3 linked regions of the Caenorhabditis elegans genome follow. The protein of the gene in region 3 interacts with the protein of the main gene of each other region in a pairwise test. Each region holds a gene or a part of one and is shown on either strand. Other genes may lie near its edges. The genes, in order: allo-1, sepa-1 and lgg-1.

Evidence for each region.
Region 1: the proteins of lgg-1 (region 3) and allo-1 interact in a two-hybrid assay, tested with the Caenorhabditis elegans proteins (2 studies listed by BioGRID).
Region 2: the proteins of lgg-1 (region 3) and sepa-1 interact in binary tests that used the Caenorhabditis elegans proteins (3 or more experiments, as listed by UniProt).

Annotation. Positions count from the first base shown.
Region 1 is NC_003282.8:10,693,667-10,699,599, reverse strand, and holds allo-1 (Allophagy receptor allo-1), read left to right. Parts: upstream 1-2,527; 5' UTR 2,528-2,531; coding exon 2,532-2,592; intron 2,593-2,806; coding exon 2,807-3,124; intron 3,125-3,180; coding exon 3,181-3,863; intron 3,864-4,018; coding exon 4,019-4,165; 3' UTR 4,166-4,294; downstream 4,295-5,933. Other genes in the region: R102.11 (uncharacterized protein), read left to right, coding at 34-97, 775-956, 1,008-1,139; R102.4 (Beta_elim_lyase domain-containing protein), read left to right, coding at 5,227-5,284, 5,468-5,565, 5,611-5,673, 5,780-5,880. UniProt on the Caenorhabditis elegans protein: Autophagy receptor, which is required for allophagy, an autophagic process in which paternal organelles, including mitochondria and membranous organelles, are degraded in early embryos.
Region 2 is NC_003279.8:13,297,059-13,303,623, reverse strand, and holds sepa-1 (Protein sepa-1), read left to right. Parts: upstream 1-2,907; 5' UTR 2,908-2,922; coding exon 2,923-4,603; intron 4,604-4,730; coding exon 4,731-5,102; intron 5,103-5,267; coding exon 5,268-5,323; 3' UTR 5,324-5,420; downstream 5,421-6,565. Other genes in the region: T04D3.1 (NTF2 domain-containing protein), read left to right, coding at 1-592, 653-756. UniProt on the Caenorhabditis elegans protein: Adapter protein that connects P-granules in somatic cells with the autophagic machinery.
Region 3 is NC_003280.10:6,345,699-6,350,441, reverse strand, and holds lgg-1 (Protein lgg-1), read left to right. Parts: upstream 1-2,722; 5' UTR 2,723-2,755; coding exon 2,756-3,043; intron 3,044-3,095; coding exon 3,096-3,179; 3' UTR 3,180-3,482; downstream 3,483-4,743. Other genes in the region: putative RING finger protein C32D5.10, read left to right, coding at 85-151, 197-686, 735-787, 835-872; C32D5.8 (protein-disulfide reductase), read left to right, coding at 4,531-4,603. UniProt on the Caenorhabditis elegans protein: Ubiquitin-like modifier involved in the formation of autophagosomal vacuoles (autophagosomes). When lipidated mediates tethering between adjacent membranes and stimulates membrane fusion during autophagy. Recruits lipidated-lgg-2 to maturing autophagosomes.

The sequences.
Region 1 (5,933 bases), on a different chromosome or scaffold from region 3:
CTATTCTACTTCATTTTTCATCTTTTCAGAAATATGAATCTGATCTTTTTACTATTCACTTTTCCCATCTTCGTAGACAATTTTTTGTTTGGTTTCGGTAAGTTTGAACTATTTGAAATTCCAATTATTATGTGGAGTTATTAATGAAATACATATGAAGTAAGCTTGACTTTATTTTTTACTAATTGGTTCGAAAAAAACGACTAATATCCTTTATCATGATTAGAAACCGCAATCGTTCTCGATGTTGGCAGGAAATGAAGGTTGGAAAAAAAAATTAATCGCGGTATCTTTTTAAACATAATATAGACATAAACTTTGATCTTATTACCGTGCAAAATCACAAAATTTTGTTCGGTAACGATTTCTGATGATTTTTAGAACATTGATAAGATTTTGATAAGACATCAGACAATTACGTGAGTTTCATGAGAAATGGATACCAGAGACAATCTTGTCGACATCTCAATATGTTTCTTAAAATTTACACGAAAACCTTGACATCGGGTGGCAACATATTGCCCAATTTTGGAACAAAAATATTTACTTGCTAAAAACAAAAGTTAGGCAACACTCGAAAGGAAACAACGATTTTAAGTAACAGATACATTTTCTTGTACCTCAATTTTTATTATTAGCAAAATAAAGTTCTTTATGATATATGACGTATGTAAGATGTAGGAACAAACAATTAATTCCCAGAAGCCTGTAATTTATTTTAACGGACTAGAAATTTTCCAACACTTTTTCCTTTACTTATCTCATACTATTCAGGAGGCGGTGGCGGATGCGGATGTGGAAGTTCCTGTGGTGGATGTAACATGGGATGCTCCTGCCTACCACCTCCCCCTTCTCCAGTATGTATGCCACCTCCACCTCCACCGTGCCCGATGCCAATCCCGTGTCCACCTCCTCCGCCTGCCTGCTCGTGCCCGCCACCGGTAACCATGTATCAGGTAATTTTACTGTAAAATTTGCCTAATTTCATTGTTGTTATATCTTTTCAGCCCTGTATGGTTCCTCAATACGTTCCTCGATGCAGTGGTGGATGCGGAGGGTGTGGTGGTGGATACGGTGGCGGTTACGGTGGTGGGTGTGGTCGAAGAAGACGTGCGATCAACAATCAGACGATACATTGATATGTACAATGGTTTTTGCTTATATAACATCTTTTCTTTCAGTCATAACACAAATAGTACAAAAATAAAATGTTAAACATTCAAAAGTTACAGAATGAAGTTCCTAGAATCTAGTACGACGTGGATTCTGTAATAATTTTCAAATAAAATGCTTATAACGAGTGTTCTGTAAAATATGAGCCTTGTGGATTCTGAGGTCCTGAAACGACAAATAAAATGTTGAACTGGGGCTTGCGCTTTCAAAGAGGAATGCAGCTGTATATGTAGTTAATGGTGGTCTATTTCAATATTTTGCACAGTGTTTCACAAGTTTAAAAAATGCGTACCTAAAGACGCACCGAGATTTGGATCTCGCCTCAAGACAAAGTTTATGTTTTTTTTTTCCAATTTACCGGGAATCATAATAAATATTTTCTCGTGACGAATTTCAATCCGCATTGAAGTTTCAGAAAACTGCGACATTAGTCATCAATATTTAGTGTACCCTTTAAAATCTCAGCTACAATAAATTCTTCATTTTTCGGAATCGATTGGAAAAGGGTATTTAGAATTTCAGAAATCTTTTTTTTAAAGCTATATTTAAAAAAAAAAAATAAAAATTCCTAACCAATTATTGATATTAATGGAGAAAAACGCACCGAAAACGGTCAAATTTGAAAAACCGCGAAAAACGAATTTTGTCTGCCTGCCTGCGTCTCTTCAATTCCTCCAGTGTCTCGTCTTCCTCAAAACAACCAGACGAGAGCGCTCATTTCGCCATTTTTTGTGTTACAGGCTGCATTTCTTCCTATTCCTTATTTTTGCTTCATTTTTTCGTTTTTTCAAGTCAAATTGATTGACAGAATTTACAATTGTAGAAATGAAAATTGAATTTTTAACGAAACGCCGACACAAATCTGAAAATTTGTTGGAAAATGTTATAATTTCTTCGCTTCTTCTGAACGCATGATTTCCCAACAATTTTAATTGCATTCCTATCCATCTATTAGCAATATAGTTTTTTCTTAACAAGTCGACTCTGGAAAATATCAAAAAATTCCTAACGACCTTCAAAAACGACATTTCCCACTGGTCACTGCGACCCGCATCAGCTGTTTTCCAATTCGAACATTTTATGCCTGCGTCTCCAAGAGCTGCTGATTCATTCTCTGGCAAACACATGATTCCTCGAGTCGTTTTTACACTGAGACGTAGAAGACAGACGACCTAGAATGTTTCGAAATCACACTCTAACTCTCTCAATGATTTTACTCTCCTTTATATATTGCTAGCAGTAACCAGTGCTTAGTGTTTGCATTCTCGATCATACGACCTCACTCTTCTCATATATTTTTCTCATTTTTCAACTCGAGATTTTGTTATTATCACTCACTAAGTAATATTTTTCAGAGAATGAACGATCCGCTTGACTCCCTCTCGAATGACGAATTCGAGATAATCGAGACTTTTGACCGTAAGTTTTTATTTTATTTTAAAAAAAGGACCTAAAAATTCAAGCTCCCAAGCTAACCCAATGAGAAAATATAACTTTTGTCTAGAAATAAATTGTTTGCATCATGATTTCGAAATTTCTTCGCATTTTTTGAAATTATGGGTCAACTTTCTGAAATCGATTTATTTGTTATTTCACAATCGAGGATTTTTAAAAATTCAAAAAAAAATTCCAGCTGAAACAGAAGATCGTGAGGATCAATGGAGTATTCAGCAGAGTATCCGAATCGAGCCAATTTCAATCCAGATGCCGAATACACTTCAATCACAGCGCGCTCCATCTCCTGTCGGATCGAAGGCCCCGGAGTCGTTGAAAGACGAAGATCCAGATCGTACACCTGAAGCATCAATCGTTGAAACACCGCTCCTTACCGAAACTTTGAAGGAAGATCGTACTCCAATGTCAACTCCTCTCGCGTCTCTTGTCAATTCGAGTCAATCTCCTGAATTCACTCTTCAGAATATGTCTATTGTGTCCGAGTCTGAATGTTCCAGTTAGTTTTAAACCAAAACTTATCATAAATTATTTATTTGACCAAGTAAATTCCAGATAATTCCTCTCTTGTGAACGTGGCGGACGTTGAATCAACAGAAATCGCTTTGAGAACATCACTTCTTCTTGTGAGCGAGCTGAAATCTCAACTTCAAGCTGCAAAAATGTCTGAATCCACTCTTCTGAAATCAAATTCAAACCATGAAATTGAAGAAAACAAGAAACTATCTGAGAAAATGGAAGTTATGAAGAACGAGTTCGAATTGAAGATGCAAGAATCAGCTGCTAGCGTAGAGAAAGTTATCCAGGAGAAAGACTCGGCTATCGAGCAGCTCAAAGTGCAATTGGCTCAGAGCCAACAGGTGGCCGAGCTGTGGAAGCAGGGAGCCGAGAAAAACAGCAACGCTCAGTACAGTGACTCGAAGACTACTATTGATAGACTTTTGGAGGAGAACTCGAAATTGAGAAATCTGGTTGATGAAGAGGTTGCTCGCCGGCTCGAAGAATCTGAGCGTCGCAAGCTGGCGGAGGATCAGTTGAAACATGCAAGAGGAGGCTCTGTCTTTGATCCACCAGCCTCTTTTGTTGCATCGCAGTTGGCGGAAAGAACCACATATTCATTGAATCTGGAACATGAGCTTATCACTCTGAGAAAAGAATTGGAGGAAACTAAAGAAGCACTGAAGAAATCTGTAGAAGAGTCGAGCAACAAGGATGAGATAGTTAGTGCTCTGCATGAGGTGCGGTTTTGATAACTTTTTTTTAAATTAGTTAACCATAGAAACCGTTCAAGCGGTCATTGCTATCTTAAATTTTTAATTTAGTGCTAAAACAACGTTGTTTTTCAACGACAAACATAAGATTTCATTTAACAATTTTTTGCAAAAAATACCAGCTTGCAGGACCAACAGGAGAGCACCCGCATGCTCGCTTCGAACGAGCAGGTGATCAACAGTCTGAAGCAGAAATGTCGTCAACTTGGAGTGCTGGAAGACTTCTCGAGCTAAGCCGTCAAATTGTTCATTTTATCTCCCACCAATAATTCTCATTTATCACGCCACATTGTGTACATTCAATACTTTTAAATTCTTGTTTTCATGATTTGTTCTATTTTGTATATTATCTTGCAAAACCCGTGTCAATAAAAATTATGATGTAGAAAAAATTCTAATCATTTCTCAGCAATTACTCGAATTTAGTCGGTAGTTTATTGGTAAATTGAAATGAAAAAAATAATTTAATAATTGCAGGTTTTTGTAAAAGATGTACTCTTTGCTCACACGACGGGTTATAGTATTAGGAAATGGTGAGTGAAAACAATAACGATACAAACGTACATATATTCAAGATCTAACGATTCGAGAAAATTCATAATGAAATTTAACTGAGAGATAATCGATCTATTTTTGCGCCAAAAATACGGTACTCTGTATCGACACGACATTTTTTTGTTAAAAGCAAACGGGGGTGCACCTTTAAAGTGTACTGTAATTTCAAACTTCCGATGCTGTGGAATTTTTTAATTTTAATCGATTTTTCAGAGTTGTTATTGCGACTTGTTATATTGTATGTATTGTTAATTGTTTAGTTTTAGTTTTTTTTTCAAATAAATAAATGCATTTTGAACGAAACAATTCGGAGAAATTTTCGCACCAACAAAAGTTTTATAAATACAGTACTCTTTAAAGGCGCGCACAATTTTTTAGTTTACAAAACTTTTTCGCGTCGAGACCGGGAAATGTTTTTAGCGCGAAAATTGCGAAATTTTGCGTCTGGCTAATATGGAAGTTTTTACAAATGATCAAGGTTAAAAATAATAAAAACTACAATCAAGGTTGTCAATTCCCGTGTCCCGTTTGTCCCGTTGTCCCGATTTTGGGGTGTTTCCACGGGAACGGGAATTCCCATTGTCCCGTTTTTAAAATTTTCACGGGAACGAGAATTCCCGCTGTCCCGTTTTTGTCATTGTTACGGGACACTGACACCCTTGACTACAATTACAATGTTTGATCTGTGTTATCATGCTCTCATTTTCATATCGGTATTTCAATTACATAATTTCATCGACACTATTGAAACGATTGTCATGATTTCTGCCTACTGATGATATCTAGACACTTCACTGTATTAACAGCACTCAACTTGCAAACCAAGATCAAAAGTTAGCATTTTGTATATAGTCCTCCGCTTTTCTACGTACTTCCTTTCTCCAAATATCATCTAAACCTTCAAAAACATATTGATAACTTCTATATCATTATTTTTTTTCTATTACTTAAGAAAGAAGTTGTATATTTCATTCGAGAAATTGATTAAAAAATCGAATTGTAAGAAATAATTTCAGTTTGCATTCGAAACTTTTCAATTAGAGGAGCAATGACTAAAGTTAATGGAAATTCAAATGGAAATGGAATATCTGCTTCCACAGATCTTCTTGATACGGTATCAAACTTTTTAAATAAAAATTTTTAATTGTAATGTTTTCAGCCATCTGCATATACTCAAAAGTCCAATAAAACTCATACTTCAATCGACTTGAGATCGGATACGGTAAGACTTTTTGCATTTTTTTAAATTAACTATAGCTATTTTTTGACTGCTGTAAGATTCCCATTGCATCTAGATTCTAGAAAATCTAGATTTTCAATTAATTCAGGTCACCGTTCCATCGGTTGAAATGAGAAGAGCAATGGCAGAAGCTATTGTTGGTGATGATGTCTATGGAGAAGATACAACAACTAATAGACTTGAGCAAAGGTGGGATTTAGTCTAAATACATTTATTATAGTCCGAAATAATCGAATATTATA
Region 2 (6,565 bases), on a different chromosome or scaffold from region 3:
CATTATGAAAAGTACATATACAATCAGAGCACCAGTCAATTCGAGATCCTCGACTGTGAGAAGTGTCCGGATACAACCAGAGAAGTGGATCTTCTCCCCAAGTATGCAGAGTTTTGCGAAGAGATTCAGGCTTATGTGATTCACGTCTTCAACTCCTTCACAGATCGCATGGAGCAATATGTCTTCGACTCGAAGATTCAGGGATTTGTTGAAGTGAATCAGCCAGAGCTGAAGTATGACTCATCGAAGGATCAGGATCCGACTTCGAGCATCTTCTTCGTTCTCAAAGGGACAACAGTGATCATGAGGGGTGCACAAGGAAGACTGAAGAAGGAGGTATATTGCTCGATCAAAAAACATTTCGTGGAGGTTCCCAATTCGGTGATCAAGAGTTTTGATACTCAGTTTATGGAGAAGAAGCAGAAGATGGACAAGAAGAAGAAGGCCAAAAAGATCAAGAAGTCCAAGAAGAAGGCATCCAAAGAATCTCAAGAGTTGGATGTCTTGGTCGAGAAGATCCGTCTTTGTGATGATCCGTTTTCTGATGGCCCATCTTGCTCAACTTCTCCAGATATTCCGGAGGATGCCCCAGGTAACCCTTAACACTTAATCCATACTATTATTCATTTTTCTAAAAATATACTCATTTCAGACGATGGCATGTCAATTCTCAAACAAAAATTCGTGGAAAGCCTGACAACTCTCTACGGCGGATCGTTGCCACCATATGTTCAGAAGGAATTGGAACAGATTTGAGGATTTGGATTAAAATTAGTTTTTTTTGTTAAATTGCATATTTTTTTATTTTATTTTGTCTTGCGGTCTCATTTTTCTTCCCGATGTTCCATAAATAAAAGACAACTGTAAATTTGTGTGCCTTTAGAAACGGCGGGAAAAAAATCATTGCTGAAAATCTTGCTTGACGTCATAGTCTTTTAGAATGGGATTGCCAGGTTCTCTTTGAGGCAAATTAAAATGGGGCACGTTTCCAAAAGAAATCCGGCAAATGGATGTAATTTTCTCTGATTCTATGAATCTTCTGTCCACATTTGTAGTCCAATTCAAGGGTGGGCGGCAATTGCCGTTCGGCAAATTTTTTTGTCGACAAACTCGGCAAAGCGGCAAGATGCCGATTTGCCGGAAGTTTTGAATTCCGGCAATTTGCCGGTTTACCGATTTGCCGGAAGTTTTCAATTCCGGAGGTTTGCCGGTTTGCCAATTGCCGGAAGTGTTTAGAGGGGCTTTTTATATGACAGAAGCACTTAAAACTGTGCCTTTTTGAAATTTTATTCCGTTTTCTTTAGATATATTCATAGAGTTTGCTTATTTTTAAAAATAGATGTAGGAACATTCATAGGATGCGTAAAAGTCTGCTGAGTGAAATCGAAATTCTGAAATTTCCAAAAAAAATGTGCAAAACCACAATTTGCCCGTTTTTCTGGCAAATTTGGCAAAGCGTCAATTTGCCGGTTTGCTGATTTGCCGGAACTTTTCAATTCCGGCAATTTGCCGATTTGCCGGAAATTTTCATTTCCGCCAATTTGCAAATTCCGGCAAAAAATCATTTGCCGTCCACCCCTGGTCGAATTACTCTCAGGTGGATCGCGTCCTTGCTCAGTGTCTGGGAATTTAAGCTGACCTTGCTTTGTCTTAATAATGGGAGTATAGGAGAAATTTATGAAGAAATGTGAGAAGTACATGTAGCCAAGATATGGGCGGTGCCATATTCAGTTCATGCTCCGCCCATATCTTGGATACTTTTCTGTTCAGATTGCCGATAATTCTTTCTATTAGATCAGCAGCCGTAACATGTTGAGATTTACCATATCTGTAAAATCAGTTCCCAGAAATTTTGTTAAAAACCATCAATATACTACATTCGTTTGTAGATCTTCTCCTGGTAGTCGTCTCAATCTTACATCAGTCGATAAAAACATCTGCCAATTCCCACCTCTTTCCCGAATCTGGTATCCCAAGAGCTGAGTATCGATTTAAATTGGTTGCAGCGTTTGCTCCAGATGCTCTGAGTTGTCTTGAAGAGCAGAAGACATCATTCAGTCTGCCTGCATCGCCTCTAGTAGGTCGTTTTTCTTTTCTCTAGTCAGTCTCTAGAGCTCCTGTTTCCATTTTTTTGTTCTCGGCTATGAACTACAGTATTTGTTTCCTTTTTGCCTTTTTCAAATATGATGTATTCTTGAAATTGATATGTCCGTAGTTCCCTTTTCTAAAAGTGTATCTTGTAGTTACTTGTGGTTTTACCAAAAATTGGACAAAAAATATCAGTTGTACTTTGATGGTTTTATTCAAAACTTGATTTTAACACAAAGGAGGACTAAAGACGCTATTTATGCCCCTGATACCAAATATCGATGTGAAAAAAATATAAAAAATTTCCGTGATTTTATATTAATTTATTAAAATCCCAAAATCCTATTTAACGCCGAAATTTTCGTCAGAAAAGGCATCGCCCATAAAAACCGTACCGCACTTGTGGATTTACGAGATTCATATTTTCGATTCATTTTATTTAATTTTCAGCCCTAGCAGTAGCCTTACCTAAATTCTAGCCCACAAAATTTGTGCATCTTCCCGCCTAGTATTATACAACAATCTGTATTGATTGCTTATTCCCAGGTGTTCTGTACGCGGAGTTGGCGGGAGCATTTACCAATCGATAAACTTTACTTGATACGTTTATATGTCCTGTTGCACTCGTCGTTTTGTATTAACTCCTACAACACTTTTTGCTCACTACTTTTTCATTTTTGATTTTTTGCAGTGGTTCTTATACTTCTAAATTTCCTTTAAACTCCTATTTTTAATCGCGCCTGGTAATTTCACTTATCACTTTTTTATTGCATTTGTATACGTTTTCAATTATTCTTAATCTAACTACACCTTAATTCCAGAAAAATCTCCAAGATGACACCTCTTTCTGCTCTTACCTCCAATCCAGCGCCTTCACCTCCACCGAAGTTTGCACTCGGAAAGTGCCCTGCCACTGCTATCCACGTGGTCAGTGTTCTTCGCCCAAACAGACAACGCTTTTGCTATGAGAAAACGGATGCTGGTGATTTGATCCCTCACAAATGCCTCATATGCCAACCAATTCTCACCGAGAAGCACATTTCTCCGTACTACGCTGTCTACAGTGACCTACTCGAAGATTTCGTGCTCTTCGGGTATAATACAATGACCGGGAAGATGGAGCAGTTTATCTACGCTTTCAAGACGGATTGCTTTGTTGAAGTGAATCGTCCCGAGATTAAGTACAATCCGGCGTTTCTTGTTAAAGGAAACGTTGTGGTTGCTCTAAATGGTCCTGAAGGCGAGCTGGTCGTGATTGAAAGAGATTGCCGTGGTCTTCTCAGTAAGGAATCTACAAGTTATGGACAGTTCCGAACTCTTCCAACAGCTGCTTTAAGGACTCTGACGCTTCAAGATCTGGAACGTGATAGGTGGGATAGAGCCGCGAATTCTGATGAAGTCAAGATTTCATCAGGTAATGAGAGCTTTGATAGACTCTACGCAGAGTATCAGAAGAATCTCCCACGATTCCAAGTTCGTCAATGTCTGCATTTGAACAAAGAATTTCTATGCGTCTATTCAAAGACTAGCGGGGATTACACAAGACTCGAGTACATTGACGAAACAGGCGACTTCCAGAAGATTTCCTGCACTCTTTGCACATGTGAAGTCACCGAATCGAACCTTATTCCATTGTATGTGGAGCGTAATGCATCCGAATTGGTGATTCATGTTCATAACACCGAGAATAATCAAATCGAGCAGTACATCTATGATGTCCGTACATTTGGATTCGTTCAAGTTAAACGCAATCTAGTTTATGATCCGAAAAAGATCACCAGTGGGCTGAACTTGTTTATGGCGGAAAATATAGACAATCGCAAGGTGTATATGATCATGAGAGGTCGTGATGGAAGACTTCAGAAAGAAACATCTGGAAGTGGAGGCTTCGAGAAGATGCAGCCAGTTGCGGTGAAAACATTCCAAGTTCAATGGGTTGAGATGAAAACTGAATTCGAAAAGAAGAAGGCTAGCACGGAGCGAGTCGAGCCACAACATCCAGTTCAGACGGAGGGCGAAGATATAATGGAAACCGTGTTAGCGATGGTTGAATCTTTTAATTGTGACTTGAGAAAGGAACTTGGATTGACACAGGATCAAGAGATTCCCAGAAAGGCGCCTAGAGTGGAATCAGCTGAGACGGAAGAGAATATAGTGAAGAATCTCGAGAAGCTCCAAATTGCGAAGGATCCCGAAGAGCCGACTACAGCTGCTTCTGAAGGTGGAAATACATATGGGTATCAGGAATTGGACGATACGATGTCTGAGGGCTTATTGGAAAAAGAAGCAGAATCGAAGCATCAGGACGCCAACGAACCAGAGCCTGTGAAGAATGTCACCTATGAGCCGGATGTTGCAGCAATGGACAAGAAGAAAAAGCGGAGAGAGCTCAAGAGTCGGCTGAACAAAATTAATGCTCAAATTGACGAGTTGGAGAAACGAAGAATGGAAAGAGCCGGAAAGAAACAAGTCGTCTCAAGCTCAGTGCCTTCGGAAGAAGCTGCTCAAGTTGAAGGTATGTATGCTTTTCAAAAACTTTATTTCTGTAGCTATTACCCGTATTTCTTTTGGAAATAGGTTAAGGGGTACTGTAGGCTTACTGTGAAAGTACAAAAATCACCTAAACCTTTGAAAATTTTCAGCACCTGCTTCACCTGCTCTGGCCGAGAACACTAATCAAATCTCAAACGAAGAAACACCTAAAATTGATATATTTGAAGGGTACAATGGTTCTTTCTTGTTCGGGACAAACACATCAAAGGAATGGATCGTTGAAGACATCCGAAATCACATGGTTGGAAAATTGTTGAAAGCGTTCTGGCCAAGAATCCAGAATGTAGAAGAGATGAATGGTGAACTGTTTAAAAAGTTGATCGCCAATGCCAGAAAATGTGAAACGGAGATTTTGGAAGCATCGAATGACCGAGATGAATACTATCGTTTGATGCAATTAACAGTTGACCAGATTCTCAAGAAAACTTTAAAAAAAGACCAACGAGCCACTGAACATAACCGTAAGTTGCTATTAATTTTTTAATATGATAATTTGCTTTTAATAATTTTAAAAAAATTTGAAATAATTGAAGGCTAGCCTAAACTGACAAAAATGTCTCAACTCCTGTTATTCCCATTTTAAGAATTTTAAGATTAATGCTTCAAATATCGATATTTATTTTCAGACCAACAACCAACACAAAGCTCCGATGAACTTGCCAAAAATCACGAGAAAAACTAAATCAGTTCACATTCATTTTCTTTTATATCTCTTGCTTTTGCTTATATCCTGTAATGAATGCGTGCTTTATCCCAAATAAATATTAAATTGATAAGTATTTTTCTTTTAATTGCACCCGAATTTGGCGTTGGGCGAATCATTTTCGGAACAATGAAACCTTGAAGAAACATGTAACTAAAAAATCGTAATTCCAGTTGTAAATTTGCAAAACTAACTTTTTCGTTTTTCATCTTTTAAAAAAAAACTTTCATGTTCGTTTTTTAAATAATCCCAGCCCTGATCGGAATCACCTTCACAATAATAATCCTTTTAAAATATTGCCCGACCGGATTCCCCGGAAGAGCTATTCCAAAAATTGTTCACAATCGACACTCTCTTTCGAAAGATCGAAACTCCGAATTACCTTGGTAACTGGGTTAAAACCAAATTTGATAGAAAATGACGAGAAGGCCACTTAACGCGTGTACCGACAAAATGTGGGCGCGCGTACGGGACTATAAAACTGACACTGCGTGCGTCTGCTTCTATACAACCTTTGCAGCGGGTGAGATTGGCGCCCGGTTAGCTCAGTCGGTAGAGCACCAGACTCTTAATCTGGTTGTCGCGGGTTCGAGCCCCGCATTGGGCTTACGTTTTTGTTTTTTATTTCAGACTTTTTTATTTATGTCATGTCAGCATTTTAAGTCAGCATTTCGCCCTCTCACACTTATGAAATCAAAAACTGCAACCAAAAAAAAAACAATTTCTGAAAATGCAACGTTTATTATCATAATTTTCATGAAATCAAAATTAAATTCTTGAATCAGTCGATGTGTATGCGATTTTTAAATAAAACAGAAAAAAACAAGAAAGCGAGAGAAAGAGGGACGAGAATTCTTGGGACTAATCATGTGGGTAATGAAGAAAAAAAGACGAAATTGGGGCATTTTAAGGCTGAAAATAGCTAATTTCCAGTCTGAACATACCCAAAAGGAGGCTACACACGATATTTTAGAGCAATTGGAGCAAAATAAGAAGGTAATTCTAAAAAAATCTTAGGATTCTTTTTTTTTGAGATGATAGAATGGATTACATGTACTAGAAGAGTGGGGAGAAAGAAAACGTTAGACATGAAGAGCAAATAACTATAGAAACTTGGAAATTTCAAGATATTTAGAGATATTTGATTGAAATGGAGAAATAAGAGGAATAATAAATTATTAGTGATGAATAATTGGAATAGAAAATTTGATTTTTTTTGTT
Region 3 (4,743 bases):
TGACCTGTTGAGTGTAAGTTTACATTGTAGCATTATCCTGCCTCATCATCTGACACCGACCAGGACGATGACATCTACTTTCAGGCTCCTCTTCGTCTTGGCCCTAATGCTACGAATCCGTTCAGGCCAGCTCCGCTCCCGGTGCCGTCACGTAAGATTTTTCAGATCGGCTCTTCAAAAAGTTAAATTTTTACAGAATTACCAATCGCTGGTATTCCATGGGCAGAATTAACGACATCTTCAGCAGGTGCTGGTTCTGCTCGAAGTCGTGGATCCGACAGTGTAGTAGAAATTGACGATGATGATGATAATGATGGTGTCGATGTGGATGATGATGACAGAGAAGACAGTGATGAGCCAAGAACGTATTCAAATAGTGAGGAAGATAGCGATGAAGAGATTCAAGTTGTTGAACGTGATGATACTATTATTCTTGATGATTCGAATCGATCACTTCCTAAACCTGTAGCAAATGGTAGTGCCGACAGGAAGAGAAAGTACGAATTTCCATTAGAAGATCATTGGAAAAAGGCCAAAACCAGCCAGTTACCTGAGGGGCTTGTTGACGATGTTCAGGAATTGATCGCGAAGTACAATATGCCGTTAACACAATCAATGAATATGCTTGTCGGCGCAGCACAAGAAGCCATTATCAGGATTAACAAACCAATGCCAAGCACTTCAAGGTGGGTTTGAAAAGATTTTATCGTGGATATGTAATATTCCAATTTCAGTGCTCCAGACATTTCGAAGTTCAAACCTGATGATATGTTACAGCTAGCAAGTTGTAAGTTTGTCATATTGCAGATCAAGTCTCATAACTAATTTTTACAGATCTCTCTCGAACTGGTGCACTTTCAAGGCGACAGTAAATCGACATTTGATCTCTGTTAAATCAATTAAAAAGGCGGATATCGACGAGTTTTCAAACTTTTTCCTAGGCATATCATAATTTTTTACAACTTTTTTACTTTTATTTTTTCTGACATTTCGATGTTTCGTAGTAGCAAGTTTCCAAATGTTCCATCCTGGGCTACAAGCGAACTTATTCGGCAATTTTTAGATTTTCGTTGTTTACGGTTCAAAGAAAAAAGCGTTTTTCATATTTTTATTGTTTCTCCATGTTAGCTATCATTTTTTATTTATTTATATTTATAGCTTTATTCTGATTATTGTACTTCTGTCCGTGTAAAACATTTCGTCACTATTGACTGTCTATAAATTTTTAACCTTTGGTTTATTGTTTGGTTATTTTTTTAATATTTTTTCTCGGTTTGCTTCCGGCAAATTTTTATCTTGTTCCTTTTTATATTTTTGCCTTTCTGATCGATTACATGGAGTGCACCCTAATGTCTTTAAGATCTTTTAATTGATTTGTTTTATATTGTCAGTTCTAGCGTTTTACCAGCTGGTCTTGAATGCCCTCTTCTAGTTCATTACATTCTACGTCACGGTGACAGCTGTGAATGTGGATGATGCTCTCATTGCTCCAACTCTTTATTTTAGAATTATGTCGCTAATGCACTTTCCACCTACATATTATTGTATGGATATAGTAGTTATATATCGTTTATTTCGTTTAGTTTTAGCATATTATGTTCCTTTAATAGCAAAACATACTCAATACCAACTGTTGTCTAGTTGTTATTCTAACCTTTTATCACTTTTGATCATTTCTAACGTTTAAAATTTCCTATCAAAAGAATCTAAGAACAAACAATCTGTCGATCGGCACCTGAAACCCCGATGATTCTACACCATGCTGCTCTACTTCTCTCAAACCATCCAATGTTTCCCTATACTCTCTTGCTCTCCTCTGCCTGCTGTCTCGTTTCGCCGCCGTATGACACAGTCACATGATGTTGAGTCGTGGTGTCTCGTCGTCTCCGCCCCTCTCTCATCTCTCTCTCTTTCTAGCTAGTGCCATTCGTCTTGGTGTGTTCAGTCTTGCCTCTCGCTCTTCTTTGCGACTTTCTGCCATTTCTTTCACTTTCTGGCGACGTCGGTAGCGACAGTACTTTTTTATTTAAAAGTTTGTAATTTTAGTTGGTTTGTTTAAAAAACCGGTTTCAAATCAAAATCTTTTTTAGATTTGAAATTTGAAATTAAGAAATGTTTCACAAGTTTGACTATTAAATGTACGGTTTAACAATTCTATCTAAAAATATTGCTAAATCATACCAAAATTATTTATTGAACGGTCATATTAATCTAGTTAATAGTTGATTACTAAAGTCTTTCAGAATTCAATTTTTTGGAACAATGCGCTAAGAATATTCGTAGAAACTGGTTATGGATACTAGTGAATATTGGATAAATGTTACTAATATATCGATCGACTTTCAGTCTTCCCAGAATTACAGTTTCCCCGACAACCTCTAAACAGCTGCATTGTACTTGTCCTGTTTCTCTGCATCTCAACAAAACCAGGCCAGACAAACATAGAAAATCAATAGGATGTCTCCTGCGTCTACGCGCTCTCATATGACCGATGTGCGCGCACACTCCCTCTCTCACTTGCACACGGGCCATTCTTGCTCATGCTCTTTTTGCCTTACTAGTACTCGTCGTCAATTTTATATAGATTTCGCAATGTGTTATCGAATCGGTCAATCTCTCAAAACCCATGTGATGTCACCTTCATTCACTCTCACTTGTTACACCTTTCTTCTCTCATGGTTCTTTTATGATTTTTCTGTGATTTAAAGTATTTTTATTCCAGTAACCTTCTCTTCACACTAACCTTCGAATCAAAATGAAGTGGGCTTACAAGGAGGAGAACAACTTTGAGAAGCGTCGTGCCGAAGGAGACAAGATCCGCAGAAAGTACCCAGACCGTATTCCAGTGATTGTTGAGAAAGCACCAAAGTCAAAGCTCCATGACTTGGATAAGAAGAAGTACTTGGTCCCATCCGATCTTACTGTTGGACAGTTCTACTTCCTCATCAGAAAACGCATCCAACTTCGTCCAGAAGATGCTCTGTTCTTCTTTGTCAACAATGTCATTCCACAAACCATGACCACAATGGGACAACTCTACCAGGTAACTAACCAGTCGTTTATTTTCATTTAATTAACCCTTTTCTTTATTACAGGACCATCACGAGGAAGACTTGTTCCTTTACATCGCCTACAGTGACGAAAGTGTGTATGGAGGAGAGGTCGAAAAGAAGGAATAAAGTGTCATGTATTATCCGCCGACGAATGTGTATACTTGTACAATGGAAATTTCATACTTCTAATGGAAACCCAAAGCCCCTTTAAAAAAATCTTCTCATTTTCTGTAATAATTCTGTATTTCCTTCACATTTTCTTCTCATTTTTCTCGTATGACGGTTCCGAGTAGTGACTTCTATTCAAACTATTGTCTACGAAGTTGCTCTTCTCCCCTCCCAGAAAATCATGTTTTCTCTCGGATTTTGATATTTTTTTGCTATTACTTTCAAATTTTTGATTCATGAATAAACGAAGAAGACACAAACAAATTCATGTTCATGCTCATCGTTATTTTCGGCCAGCGAATGGAATACCTCCAACAGTTAGCAATACACATTGCGAAATCACTTTTTCATCTGTATAGAATTGACGTCACATTTGTATTACGTAAACATCATTGTAGATTTCTGAACAAAGTATAGAGAAAAATGAGAATTTTATTTCGAAAATGGTGACACACTTTTGGCAAAAAGGCTCTTTGTATCCATTAGTCATCTGTCAAATGACAGTTTATTCTAGTTGTCATCGTCTGAAAATGTCATAAGAGGGCTCAAACGTTGACTTAGGAATCATTTTTGATTCGATTCTGGCATATTTTATCATTTTCGAGACACAATTTTGGTACTACCCATTTGCAGAAGTTTGAGATTTTCAATGCGAAAATACGGTAGCCGGTCTCGGCACGATGGAAACTTTTCAGCTACCGCACCCAAAAGTGTTTCGCAATTTTCACCTGTATCTGTTGTAATAGTTTCACTTAAAATTCCACATTTTTAAAGGAAAAACCGATACATTTTTGGAAAATTGTAGGAGATCATGAAAAATTAAAAACAAATACTTGCGGATACGGTATTTAAATAGTTTTGGCCGTTTCGAGACCGAGTACTGTAGGCTAACTCTAAAAAAATCTGCAAAATTTTCAAGATGTATAATTAAATACATATTTTTGAGATTAAAAAAAGAGTCTCGTTTCTCTACATCTTACTATTGTAAATCTACGAGTCGCCGCTGCTTCCCAGTCAAATCGATTCTATAATTACACCTTCTCCTTTTCCCTTTTTCCTCTATCCATTTTCTCGTTGTTTTCCCTTCGTTGCTATTAGAAACTGGCATGGCTTTATTCATAAAGTGGTGTTTATACTCTTTTTTTTTCTATTTTTCTGCCTTTTTGAATTCATCACGTGTATGTTCTGCCATCTCTTCTTCTTCTTATTTTTTTCAATTTGATCGCAAAATTCGATCGAAAACGTGACCTTTACCTTTTGAACGGTGTATTCGTTATCTCATCGGTTTCCCCATCATTACTTGACTGTGATGGGGAACACGGCGAATTCGAATTCGAAACAACCAGCAACGAGTGCCGCGCAGATGTCGGTCGACCCAAAAGGTAGTGAAACACTGAAAAATTTGGCAAGTTTCTCAGCAGGTGACCTGATAAACACGAAAGTTGTTTCGTTGCGATCGGGTATTATACGTTTACTTTTTGATTAGTTGTACATGGTTGGTTGGTTAACATGGTTGGTTAAC